Macaca mulatta: one gene and its partners. The protein of the gene in region 1 interacts with the protein of each later gene in a pairwise test. Links are inferred from orthologs where the notes say so. Each region holds a gene or a part of one and is shown in the gene's direction. Other genes may lie near its edges.

Region 1 (3,521 bases):
GGGTCAGGGAAGGCATCACACATGAAGTAGGATGTCTGCGAGGCTTGGCAGAAGCGAGATGTAGAGAAGGGGAGGAAACATTTCAGGCTGGGAGAAAGAAGGGAGTCCCGAAGTCTAGGGAGTCAAAGGCAATTTGGCTGGAGTGGCCAAGGGATAGGGTAGGGGTGGTGAGTTCTGAGGAATGGGACTGTATCAGCAAAGGCATAGACCTGGGGATGCTGTGCATATTGGGAGTGGTGGAATGGGAAGTGAGAGGTATTCTGGGTTGGATTTTACTTATCAATAGTATGGTAATTTTTTAAACAGTATGGTAAATGTCTGATAAAGTCACAGATATTCTGTGATTTCTATATTATACTATCATGTAATCTCTTTTTTTTAACAAGGACAAAAAAGTTCAAAATAAATCACAATCATTTACAAGTATCATGTTAACAAGAGTTACAAGATGTAGCGGAATACTAGCAATTAGTGTTTGTATATGGTTTGTGTATATCCAGGGATGGTTCTATATGCATGTATTTTTTTCTGTCTACAAGTATCACCCCACTTTGAACACTAAGCTCATGTCACATAGTGTCGTGAACGTATCTTTGAGCTTGAGAAAAATCAACCTTTAACAAAAAAGGACATTTATTGTATGCATCAAGAAATGTAGAAAAAGCATGGTACTGATTTTAAGTGAATGTCTACCTTATGAATAGGCTAGTTTGACTGGACAAAGCTTATTTGACTTCTTGCATCCAAAAGATGTTGCCAAAGTAAAGGAACAACTTTCTTCTTTTGATATTTCACCAAGAGAAAAGCTAATAGATGCCAAAAGTAAGTGTCCATTTCTGCATGCTTATTATTTTATGTAAATGTAATGATCACCTAAAAGTTTAGCTACACGGTGTTTTTAATACAGCTAACTAAGCTTTTACCAAACGAGAATTATTTTGTAAACTTTACATCATAGTTAATATATATAGCTATATAGAAAATTCCTGTATTCATACAGACATATACAAACACAAATGCATTCATATGAAGATGCTTTGTTTGGGGAAAATATGATTCCTTCATATTTGCTATTTTTCGTATTTTTAGTAGAGACGGGGTTTCACCATGTTAGCCAGGATGGTCTCGATCTCCTGACCTCGTGATCCACCCACCTCGGCCTCCCAAAGTGCTGGGATTACAGGCTTGAGCCACCGCGCCCGGCCGCTATTTTTCATATACAAATAAAATCCTTACAAGAAAGTGTCATTTTGGATAAAAAATTGCTGAAGTTCCCATTATTTAGCTACATGCTAAAAGACAATTATCCTCTTGTATATGGATTAGGTCTTTTCTGTATGAAAGACCTTGTATAATTGCGTTTGGGAAGTGTAAGTATTTTTTCTTCTCTGAAAATGCCTAGTACCAAATAATTATATGAAATATAAAACAATTGATTCCTGTAATAGTTGAGGTTTTTTTCATTTTTTTCATTTAATTTTTATTTCATTTCACTTAAATTAACTTTGTTCTTCCCCATTTGGGGAAAAAAGAAAGATAAATTGCAAATGTCTATAAGTTATCAAAATGTGATTGCTTGACAAATACATTTTTTGGGTGTGTTTCACTTTAGGGTTTACTGTACAATCATGCCATTGCTTTAAAAAACTATTTCCTTTCTCAATAATAGATGATCAGAAAATGTTGGAAGATAAATTTCAAAATTATTTGACAATATTCTTTTCCACCTGTTCTCTCACCCCCTTCTGCTACAAAAGCTGGTTTGCAAGTTCACAGTAATTTCCATACTGGAAGGACACATGTTTATTCTGGCTCAAGACGATCTTTTTTCTGTCGGATAAAGAGTTGTAAAATCTCTGTCAAAGAAGAGCATGAATGCTTACCCAACCCAAAGAAGAAAGGTATCATTTTGAAATGTCAAGTGATGCAAAGAGTGGATATAAAATTAATGTCCTAAATATTTTCTGTACAGAAAAAATAAAATATATGGTCAAGGGAAATATTTGAATCCAAAAGCATCTTAAAAATAAGATTTTTTTTAAACCAAAATTACTTAGATTGGTTCATCATATCTTTCGAATTTATCAGGTAATTACATATTGTCTTTGTTACCCAAGATTTTAATGGTATTATTGAAATTGTAGTTTGGGGCCTATCAAATGGGAAAAAATCACAAGAGATAGAAATAAAACTTTTGCTATGAAACTTCATTATTACTCTTTAAAATATAAAAGTTAGATGTTAAAATAAAAAAGTCAGTAGTACAAGAGCCTGATCTAATTTTGGTGAAAGTTTCTTAAGATGTTCCAGGTGTGATTTTAATTTTTTATGAGATATTGATTCTTTGGTAAATTTGTTTTCTTATGATCCTTTGCTAGATTTGTCTTGCAGATATTTACTTTTTGAATTGATTAAATAGTCATCTATTTAACTTAATTGGGAAATTTCGGGGACTACAAAATGTCTCATGACTTTTTTGCCTAAGAGCATATTAAGCTATTAGATATAGGATTTCGTAGGCAAATTTCAACATGGGATTTGCTTTCCTATCCTTTAAAAGGATATTTATATGGAGCCACAAAATTCAATTTATTTACAAGTTTTGGTCAGAATGTTTTTTGACAAACACCTAAAATGATAATTGCTAATACTCATTTATTTAACACTTACCCCGTGCCAGATACTGTGCTAAGTAAGTGTTTTAGTCCTCATGAAAATACTATTCTTTTTAAAAAATTTTTCAACATTTATTTTAGATACAGGGACTACATGTGCAGTCTTGTTGCATGGGTATATTGCACTAAGGTAGTGAGCATAGTACCCAGTAGATAGTTTTTCAACCCTCACACCCTTCCCTCCCTTCCCCCCTAATAGTTCACAGTGTCTGTTGTTCCCATGTTTATGTCCTTATATGCTCAATGTTTAGCTCCTAGTTATAAGTGAGGACATGTGGTATTTGGTTTTCTGTTCTTGCATTAATTCACTCAGATTATAGCCTCCAGCTCTATCCACATTGCTACAAAGGACATGATTTCATTCTTTTTTATGGCTGTGTAGTATTCCATGCTTTATATGTAGCCCACTTTTCTTTAATCCACCATGGATGGGCACCTAGGCAGATTTCATGTATTTGCTATTGTGAACAGTGGTGCAATGAACATACAAGTGCATATGTCTTTTCAGTAGAATGATCTGTTTTTCTTTGGGTGTATACCCAGTAATGGGACTAAAGATTCCTCCCCAAGTTGTATTTTCTTCTAGCTTCTTTCACAGTCTTATTTCTAAAAAGACCCCTGCACATTGGCTGTGCTGAGGGGAAAATGATTGGGATAAACCTGAGATCATTGTGTGACAACAGTAGATGTTGGTGAATGAACAGTTTATTGAGTGCCTACTATGTGCTGGGTACTATGCCAAATGCAAAGGACACACTAGGGAGCAGGCAGACAAGTACTCCTGTAGTGGACCTTATGTGAGATGGCCCTCATATACTACAGACAGCCAAGAAACATGTAAACTAA
Region 2 (2,697 bases), on another chromosome or scaffold:
TGTGAATAATGGTTTATAATAATTGTTTATTATATAGTGGTTTATTCACAATAAACCAAAATATGATTATACACATCCATGGATGTACAATTATCTTTTTCAGGTTCCTGCTTTTACTTCTTTTGGGTATATACCCAGAAGTGGAATTGCAGGATCATATGGTAGAATGGTCATTGTGTGTGTTTAATTTTTTTGAAGAATTACCATACATTCATATTAGTCCATTCTCACACTGCTATAAAGACATGCATGAGCCTGAGTAATGTATAAAGAAAAGAGGTTTAATTCGTTCACCATTGTGCAGGCTGTACAGGCTTCTGCTTCTGGGAAGCCTCAGGAAACTTACAATCGTGGCAGAAGGTGAAGAGGAAGCAAGCACAACTTCACATGACCGGGAGGAGAGAGAGAAAGAGGGGGAGGGGCTACGCACTTTTAAACAAACAGATCTAGGGAGAACTCTGTCACAAGAACAGCAAGGGGGAAGTCCCCACCCACGATCAATCACCTCCCATCAGGCCACACCTCCAACACTAGGGATTACAATTCAACATGAGATTTGGGTGGGGACACAGAGCCAACATTTAACACAGTGGCTGCAGCATTTGACAATTCCCAGTAACAGAGCACTAAAGTTCCAATGTCTCTGCATCCTCAGCAACACCTGTTACTTCCTGGTTTTTTGATAATCACCATTGTAATGAGTGTGAAGGGACATTTCATTTTGGTTTTGATCTGCTTTGCCCTAATGGCTAGTGATGCTGAGCATGTTTTCATGTGTGTGTTGGCCATTTCTAGCTTCTCTTTGGAGAAATGTCAGCCCCATGCCCGTTTTTTGATTGGGTTGTTTGGGTTTCTTGTTGTGCAGTTGTAGGCATTCTTTATATATTGTGGTATCCGTCTCTTATTAGATATGTGATATGCAAATGTCTTCCCCCACCCCGTGGGCTGCCTCTTCCCTCTGTTGATAGTGTTGATAGTGTCTTTTGATGCAAAAAAGTTTCTTTTTTTTTTCTTTAAGATGGAGTCTCACTCTGTTGCCCAGGCTGGAGTGCTGTGGCATGATCTCTGCTCACCACAACCTCCACCTCCCGGGTTCAAGCTATTCTCTTGCCTCAGCCTCCCAAGTAGCTGGGACTACAGACACCCACCACACCTGGCTAATTTTTGTATTTTTAGTAGAGACGGTGTTTCACCATATTGGTCAGGCTGGTCTTGATCTCCTGACCTTGTGATCTTCCCGCCTCAGCCTCCCAAAGTGCTGGGATTACAGACATGAACCACTGTGCCTGGCCAAAAGTTTCTATGAAGTCCAACTTACTTGTTTTTTTCTTTGTTGCTCATGCTTTGGGTGTCATATCAATACTGCTTTCTTAAAGGACCTGTTTTCTCCTTCCCACGTGAAACAGGTACGCACAGAGCCAGACCGTCTTTCCAAATCCAGATGCACACCCTGTCAACAGCAGCAGCACCCCGATGCCCGTCCTGCTGATGGGGCAGGCAGTGCTCCACCCCAGCTTCCCCGCCTCCCAACCGTCACCCCTGCAGCCTGCACAGGCCCGGCAGCAGCCACCACAGCACTACCTGCAGGTGGGTGCCAAAGCCCAGGGGGCCCCCGTGCAGGCCTGGGAGCCGGGCCACACTCCGTACCCCGAGTCTCAAAGATATTTTATTCCCTTGCTTTCAAGGTTGTTCTATCCCTAGTATAGAAGTAAGCCCCAGAAAGATTCTCATTTGATTGTTTTTCATGCTTAAAGGTTATGAAGTCTATATCTATGGAGTATGTGAAATTACGAGTCGGCTATTATGCCTTATGTGATTATGTGCTGAAAAGGTTCCTTTTTAAAAAAGTAGTTTTTACTCAAGGATTTGCATCTAGACATGTTCATAGTTTTTAGAGCAGAAGTCAAAAAACATTGATGACTATGTTGGACTTTTCAGTGTGTTTATAAAGTCCTATATAAACATAAAGTTAAATCACATTTAGTTAAAGATCCACTAACCTGCCTTAGTAAATACAGTGATGTGTGAAATTGGGCTTGCCAGGAAAATTTGGAGCTCATTTACATGTGGTCACTACTTAGAAGGCAAAAATCACTTCAGGCAAGTGCCAAGTATGCCAAAAGCAGGGAGGGTGAGAGCCACTGGTTGGGAGGTTCACTTGGGAGCCACACGTCTGCGTCTGCCAAGCTCCAGAAGGGCCTGGCCTTCCCTTGCCCATGTGCAGGGTGCCCCTTTTCACCCAGCCCTTCTGTGTCCTAGGGGGCTTCCTCCCTGGCCTGCAGCTCCACCTGCACCTGCAAAGCCATGGAGAATGAGCAGAGGCTGAGTCCTCTTGAGTACTGTAGATAGCGATGAAGATAGCTGTCCTTGAAGTTCTAGAATGTAGTTTAATTCCAATGCTGCTAAGCCATCTGTGCTGTAATTTTCGGATCTCCCTGACCCCACGCATAGTGGGAGTCAGCTCAGACTTTGGCTTTGCAGATCTTGTCAGTTCTCGAGACCCAGAAGTGATTTTGGATGGGAAATGAGCAACAGACAAGTTTGCACGCACCTGTTGCATACAAGATGCAGGCTATGAATACAGAGAGCTCTTCGGCCCACTCACTGCCCTTAGGGGCCTCGGGGTGGGGTGCAGAAGGTGGGTTAGCACAGAGTGCAGTCAGGCTCGGATTTGGGAAGAGTGGGAGTGCTGTGGTG
Region 3 (3,521 bases), on another chromosome or scaffold:
CTGCTCACTCTGTTCTGCACCTCTGGGCTTCACTGTCTCCAAACCACTCTGTATGCCATTGCCAGACTAATCTCCCCAAAGCAGTGCTTTGAGATGTACTCCTCTGATCACATTTGCTTGACACATGAGGCCCCTCCAGGACACTGGGCCTGTCTCACCAGCCCAATCTCTGAGACTGGAAGATGGATTCTCCTCTTGAGCCAGATGGGCCTCTCTTCAGTCTAGGAGGGAGCTTGCTCCAGGGGTTTTCCAGTGCTCACACAATCCCATCTGGTTCAGAAGGCCCTTCTTTCATTCCACAGAGTGAAATCTGTTTTTCTAAGTCTCTGCAAATCTTCTTTGGAACAGTTAGTTGTCTGTGATCACCCCAAAGTGACCCCCTCGTCCTCTGACCCTTAGAGCTCGTCCCATCTACACTTTTCCTTGGAAGCCCAGCTATGACACCCTTGAACTTTTACTTAGCTTTGCATCTCTGAGTGCTATATATTCCTCACCCGGGATCTGAGCAATTTGAGGGTAGTGCATGTCTTGGAGCAGAAAGAAGAAAGAATTTACTGTTGTTATAGTTTTAGGCACTTTACATACTTATCTAATCCTTACAATTCAGAGGTGGAAATTGTTATTCCCATTTAGCTGATGAGGAAAGTGATATCCAGAGAGGTTGTTCCTTATTCAGAGTCATAGCCTAATAGGAGGGTGATCTAGGAAGAGAACCTGTGTTTAACTCCAAAGCCTATGAATGGTTGAGTGTGGCTTCTGGATTCAGCTGTCAAAGCTTGCTAACTTTGCAATCTTTATACCTTTGGACAAATGGCTTAACCTCTGTACACTTCATCTGTAAAATGAGATTAAGAATAGTATCTACCTCGTAGGTCACTGTGAAGATTACATAGCATGCTTAGTGCAGTACCTTTCATGTTGTGATTGCAGTATATATTAGCAGCTAAAATTTGTTCCTGCTTCTATGAGTACCGTTATATTCAGGCATACTTTGATTGATGTTTGCACTGGATAAATACAAATTTTCATAAGTAAATGTCTTTGGAGATAAATAATGAACTAGGAGAAAAGGGCTGAAATGAAGTCGGTGGTCTGTGTATAACCACCAAAGACCTGGGGCCCAAGAGGTGTTTTTGGTCTGGGACAAGAGCCGAGTCTACAGGCTGTACAGGTGGTTGCTGGGGGCAGCCTAGGAAAACTTCCACCCCGAACCACTCACACAGCAGCTCCTACTGCTCCCGTTGCTAGTGCCAGAAGTACTGTTGTCACAACAAGCACACTGTCCTCACAGCCCCTGTCAGGGTGTCCTCTGTGCAGTGGTGCTCATCCAGTGCCTGCTGCCGGGCTGGGGCAGACATTCAGATGGTCGGCAGTGCGCGTTTCCAGAAGAGTCCACCCGATGCCTTTGCGCCATCCCTGGCAAATGCCTATCTGTGCCAGTCACATCTGTTTTCACTCCACATTCATGTAACTGTCCCGCCCCCCTCTCTTTCCAGTTTGCTCTGAAAATGAGTCTGAAGCTGAAGCTGACCAGCAGATGGACAACTTGTACCTGAAAGCCTTGGAGGGTTTCATTGCCGTGGTGACCCAAGATGGCGACATGATCTTTCTGTCAGAAAACATCAGCAAGTTCATGGGACTTACACAGGTGACACCCCCCTCTATCTCTTTCAAAAGAAGAAATGTTTCCATTTGGGGGTAGAAATGAGTAGAAGGTGCTAGCCACAATCCCACTTGACCTTTCCCTGTAAATGGCCACTGTGACCCTCGCTGACCTCAGGCCACATGCCTCAGGCCACAGTCCCACCCCCAGGCATTGGGTTTGGCTTTGCTTATGTCCATCCTGGCAGACAGCTCTCTACTGACTCATTAACAGACTCTGTCATCAGTAATCCCCCATTACATCTTTCTGTCTGTGGACCTGACACTGGACTGGGATTATGAGAAAACCCAATTCAATCTCCTCCCTGCCTCCAAATCTGGAAGGTGGCTCAGCTTCCTCTTGGAGTCTTTTACTTCACTGTTAGGAATAATGATGCCTAACCTTGTTTTTGAAACAGGTGGAGCTAACAGGACATAGTATCTTTGACTTCACTCATCCCTGCGACCACGAGGAGATTCGTGAGAACCTGAGTCTCAAAAATGGTATCCTTAATTGTGTTTATTTCCTTCTTGCCCCCACTGGGTGGGAATCTGCCTCCCCTTTGTCTACAAGTATAAGGGAGATAGCTCATGGCCTTGCAATGCAGGAAAAATGGATGTCCTTAAAAAATTTAGCTAGGCTGGCCCTCCGTTTAAGTGTGTAGCCTGTGAGATGAGATTGGGGCATTGAGAGGACCCGGTACTCAGAAGTATCTCCTGCTGGCCCCACATGATGCCTGGTGTCCCACTACTAGGGGACTCTTTTGGGTTAGGACACTGTCTCTAGGAGGTTTCATCACCCAAGAGTCAAGCATCTCTGCCAAATGACACCACCCAAACCAGTGAGAAACCAGTCTGTGCCAAAGTGCTTATAGGAACTACTGTAGTTATCTATTGCTGTGGAACAAACCACCTAAAACATAGGGCTTTGATGATTATCTCCCAGCGTTCTGTGGGTTCAGTGGGTGGGTCTTATACTCCATGTGATGTCAGTGGGGCTGCAGTCATCTGGGGGCCAGACTAGGCTGGGGTGATCAGGATAGCTCACACATGTCTGGGACCTTGTGTCAGGTGGCTGGAACCCTGGATTCAGCTGGCATGCTGGGACAATGGGACTGTTCTGTCACTCCATGGAGTCTCAGAGACTCTCCCTCTCCATACGGTGTCTCTAGGGTAGCCAGACATGTGGCAGCTCAGGGCTCCCAGAAGCACTAAGGTGGAAGTTGCCAGGCCTTCCCAAGGTTTTGTCCTCAAATTAGCAGAGCATCACTTCTGCCCCATGTTGTTGGTTAGAGCATGTTACAGGACAGCCCTGGCTCATTGTGGGAGGAAACTACACAAAGCCATGAGTGTCAAAAGGCATGGCTTGTTGGAGCTACTTTTGGAGATGAGCTACCACAGGAAATGGTACCCTGATGAGACATAGGTCAAGTAGGTTTTGACGGAGAAGAGATTTAAAAAGATCTAGCGTACAGGACCTTACCCATGGGGATACCCAGCAGGTGCCAGTGGATGAGAGGACCCACACAGGCAGAAAGCACGTTGCAATGGCAGTGGAGCTTCCTCTCTCGTAACTGTGGCCATTCAACAAAGGCATGAATAGGGACATTGTTAAGAGGACTGAAGCTTTGGGCAGAAGTGGGGCTTAATGACTGTCAAGGTCCCTTCCAAACCTGAGATTCTGTCACTGGTCTGGGCAGATTCTGTGCATGTCTAGATGTCCTCTTTAATAATATCACCTGTCACTGCCATGGGGCTTATGCTTGTCCAACCTGAATAACAGAGGCAGTGAGGCTAAGCCTACAAGGGTTGGCTCTTATTACCACACATGCTGCAAAAGCAGATACTTCATTGGCTCACCTCCACCCTGTTACAGACTG
Region 4 (3,521 bases), on another chromosome or scaffold:
ATCTTTTTTACCAGTCCAAATTTTAGTAAGTTTGAATCCATAATATAAAAATTATATTTTACATCAAGTTTTAGGTACCTCTTGGGTACAGAATTTATAAATCAATCATCAGTAATATTTTTATTAAACTACCAGTATGTATGATTCAAATTAGTCTTACATGACCAACCAGCAGGACCACTCCAGGAGACTATGACTTTGGTAAAGGGAAACGGAGTGAAAACTACTTCTGTCTGATGTTATAAAGTATAAATGATAAGTGATACAGAGCTGTCAGTCCACAGACTGAGTAGCACCGAGTTACACTTTTTCTAACAATTGGAAACATAGAATTAAAATAACTGAAAGATTGAATATGAAGTTTCGTGTTTTATTCACTAATTATTTATTGCTAATTCTTCAAAGTGACTTAACCTTGTTACTTGCTTTTTAAATGTACTTTATAGCTTGATTTTTTTTTTTTTTTTTTTTTTTTTGAGATGGAGTCTTGCTCAGTCACCCAGGCTGGAGTGCGGTGGCGCGATCTCGGCTCACTGCAAGTTCCGCCTCCCGGGTTCTCGCCATTCTCCTGCCTCAGCCTCCCGAGTAGCTGGGACTACAGGCGCCCGCCACTACGCCCGGCTAGTTTTTTGTATTTTTAGTAGAGACGGGGTTTCACCGTGTTAGACAGGATGGTCTCGATCTCCCGACCTCGTGTAGCTTGATTTTGCCTTCTTTTTAATGCTCTCATTCTTCTTTTCAATCTACAAAGCTCATTTTAACATAATCTTTATTTTTAAAGATGTTTTTGCAGCAATCAAATCCTGGGTTGAATTTTGGTTCTGTTCAACTTTCTTCTGGAAATTCATCTAACATCCAGCAACTTGCACCTATAAATATGCAAGGCCAAGTTGTTCCTACTAACCAGATTCAAAGTGGAATGAATACTGGACACATTGGCACAACTCAGCACATGATACAACAACAGACTTTACAGAGTAGTACATCAACTCAGGTAATGTTACTGAGCACAGCGGGCTATGGAGTGGTCAGTGTTTGGAATGCACACTATTGCTGAAACAGAAATAAAGCTCTAATGATAAAATATCATTTCAAAATTTAATCATATTTAGAAAGTACAGCATTGAAAGTGATCATGAAAATGTTTTGTGCTAATCATGTTAGTATCAAATATTTTCAGCTTTTTTTTTTTTTTTTTTTTTTGAGACAGAGTTTTCGTCCTGTTGCCCAGGCTGAAGTGCAATGGCATGATCTTAGCTCACTGAAACCTCTGCCTCCTGGGTTCAAGCGATTCTCCTGCCTCAACCTCCTGAATAGCTGGGATTACAGGCACCCGCCACCACGCCGGGCTAATTTTTGTATTTTTGTTAGAGATGGGGTTTCACCATGTTGGCCAGGCTGATCTCGAACTCCTGACCTCAGGTGATCGCCCACCTCAGCCTCCCAAAGTGCTGGGATTACAGGCATGAGCCACTGCACCCAGCCGAGCTTTAAAATATATCACAATCTGTTTAAAGATGTAGTCTAGTAATTATACCAAGTTACTATAACTTAGACTATTTCTGTATGTTAAAAAGGTATGACTTGCTCAAGAGGCTGACCAGGAAGCCTGCTGGTGCAGAATAGACTGTTGGGGGAGGGGGCAGTAATGGTTTATTGACTATTCCAGAAAATATTGGCAATTATTGTACATCTGTGACTGTAAATCCCAAGGATTTAAATGAAAAATAGCAAAATACCCACTAATTAGTTATTCACTTTGGGCATTTAACAGAAATTCTTCGGGTATATTTTATATCATCTCTATTATAGTCACACTTCTTTCTAAAGTCATAGCTTACCTTCCAGCAAGATATTCAAGACTAATTCATTCTCAATTACCATGAGTCATTCCTTTGTGGTTATATTTCTCCCAGAGTAATATATCCTGCCACTTCTTTCTCTGTCATATTGTCATATTGTTAGAATGATGAATTCTAGCATACTTCCCAAATGATTATTTTCAGTTAATCTGTCTATAAAATCTCTCTTTATTTTTAACAGAGTCAACAAAATGTACTGAGTGGGCACAGTCAGCAAACATCTCTACCCAGTCAGACACAGAGCACTCTTACAGCCCCACTGTATAACACTATGGTGATTTCTCAGCCTGCAGCCGGAAGCATGGTCCAGATTCCATCTAGTATGCCACAAAACAGCACCCAGAGTGCTGCAGTAACTACATTCACTCAGGACAGGCAGATAAGGTAGTTGTCATATTTCATTTGTTATTTTGAAAATTGTAAACCGATTAATTAGAAAACAATAATTTGATTTTTTAATCAAATTTTTTAATGTGACTTTAATGTGTTGCTCACTGCAGCCAGTGTTCTTAAATTTGAAATAAAAACACATAATTTATTCATTGTTTAAAGACTTCATAATTAAAGGGTAACAACAAATTTTGTTTCTTGTCCAAAAATATGCTGCAAGATATTATAGAATACAGATTCTACAGCACATTGTTAGAAAAGGTTTATGACAGGCTCTGTGTCACTGTGAAGCTTTTGTCTTTTCAATATAGATGCTAGAGAATGTCCATGTAGTAACAGTGGTTAGGGTAGCTTACCTTCTTTAAGTTTGTTAAATGCTCAAAATATGTTGTCTCAAATTGTCATTTATTAAAAGAAAATGTAAATGAGGGCCTTCTTTTATTTCCCAGATAAGAAAAAAGTGAATATTCAGTAATTAGCCAAGGGGTCTCTAGCTAGCTAAGGTGATGAGGGAGGGAGCTCTGAACACAGAACTTGGTGTCGTCATTTCAATGCTCAAGTGCTTAAACATTTATTGCAGAAAGGTTTTGTGGCCTGCTCTGGAAAAACAACCATCTATGACTTATTTTAGTGCACTGATCACGTGAGCAGTGCCCATTCTATCCAATATATAGTTTTTTTATCCCTCACCCCCACCATCCTCCTCCAAAGTCTATTATATCACTCTGTATGCCTTTGCTGTACCCATAGCTTAGCTCCCACTTACCAGTGAGAATATATAGTATTTGGTTTTCCATTTCTGAGTTACTTCACTTAGAATAATGGCCTCCACCTCCATCCAAGTTGCTGCAGAATGCATTATTTTATTCTTTTTTTATGGCTGAGTAGTAGTCCATGGTGTATACATACCACATTTTCTTCATCCACTCACTGGTTGATGGGCACTTAGGTTGATTTCATATCTTTGGAATTGTGAATTGTACTGCGATAAACATATGTATGCAGGTGTCTTTTTGATACAATGACTTCTTTTCCTTTGGGTAGATACCCAGTAGTGGGATTGCTGGATCAAATGGTAGATCTACTTTTACTTCTTTGAGAAATCTCACATTCCCACCAGCAGTGTGTATTGTTTTTTGACTTTTTAATAATGGCCAGTCTGGCTGGGGTAAGGTGATATTTAACTGTGGTTTTAAGTTGCGTTTCCCTGAACATCTATCTATGGAGGAGGACAGAAACCACATCTTAGTAAACATTTGAAGGCCTACC

What was found. The genes of interacting proteins can lie anywhere in the genome.
Region 2: the proteins of ARNTL2 (region 1) and NPAS2 interact in binary tests that used the Homo sapiens proteins (3 or more experiments, as listed by UniProt). The link is inferred for Macaca mulatta from reciprocal best matches to the Homo sapiens genes BMAL2 and NPAS2.
Region 3: the proteins of ARNTL2 (region 1) and EPAS1 interact in binary tests that used the Homo sapiens proteins (3 or more experiments, as listed by UniProt). The link is inferred for Macaca mulatta from reciprocal best matches to the Homo sapiens genes BMAL2 and EPAS1.
Region 4: the proteins of ARNTL2 (region 1) and CLOCK interact in binary tests that used the Homo sapiens proteins (3 or more experiments, as listed by UniProt). The link is inferred for Macaca mulatta from reciprocal best matches to the Homo sapiens genes BMAL2 and CLOCK.

Annotation. Positions count from the first base shown.
Region 1 is NC_133416.1:29,749,640-29,753,160, forward strand, and holds part of ARNTL2 (basic helix-loop-helix ARNT-like protein 2), read left to right. Parts: intron 1-704; coding exon 705-822; intron 823-1,757; coding exon 1,758-1,901; intron 1,902-3,521. UniProt on the Homo sapiens protein: Transcriptional activator which forms a core component of the circadian clock.
Region 2 is NC_133418.1:9,141,437-9,144,133, forward strand, and holds part of NPAS2 (neuronal PAS domain-containing protein 2), read left to right. Parts: intron 1-260; exon of another isoform or gene 261-1,406; coding exon 1,407-1,587; exon of another isoform or gene 1,588-2,697. UniProt on the Homo sapiens protein: Transcriptional activator which forms a core component of the circadian clock.
Region 3 is NC_133418.1:78,484,889-78,488,409, reverse strand, and holds part of EPAS1 (endothelial PAS domain-containing protein 1), read left to right. Parts: intron 1-1,496; coding exon 1,497-1,648; intron 1,649-2,060; coding exon 2,061-2,145; intron 2,146-3,521.
Region 4 is NC_133410.1:78,053,808-78,057,328, forward strand, and holds part of CLOCK (circadian locomoter output cycles protein kaput), read left to right. Parts: intron 1-781; coding exon 782-994; intron 995-2,043; coding exon 2,044-2,246; intron 2,247-3,521. UniProt on the Homo sapiens protein: Transcriptional activator which forms a core component of the circadian clock.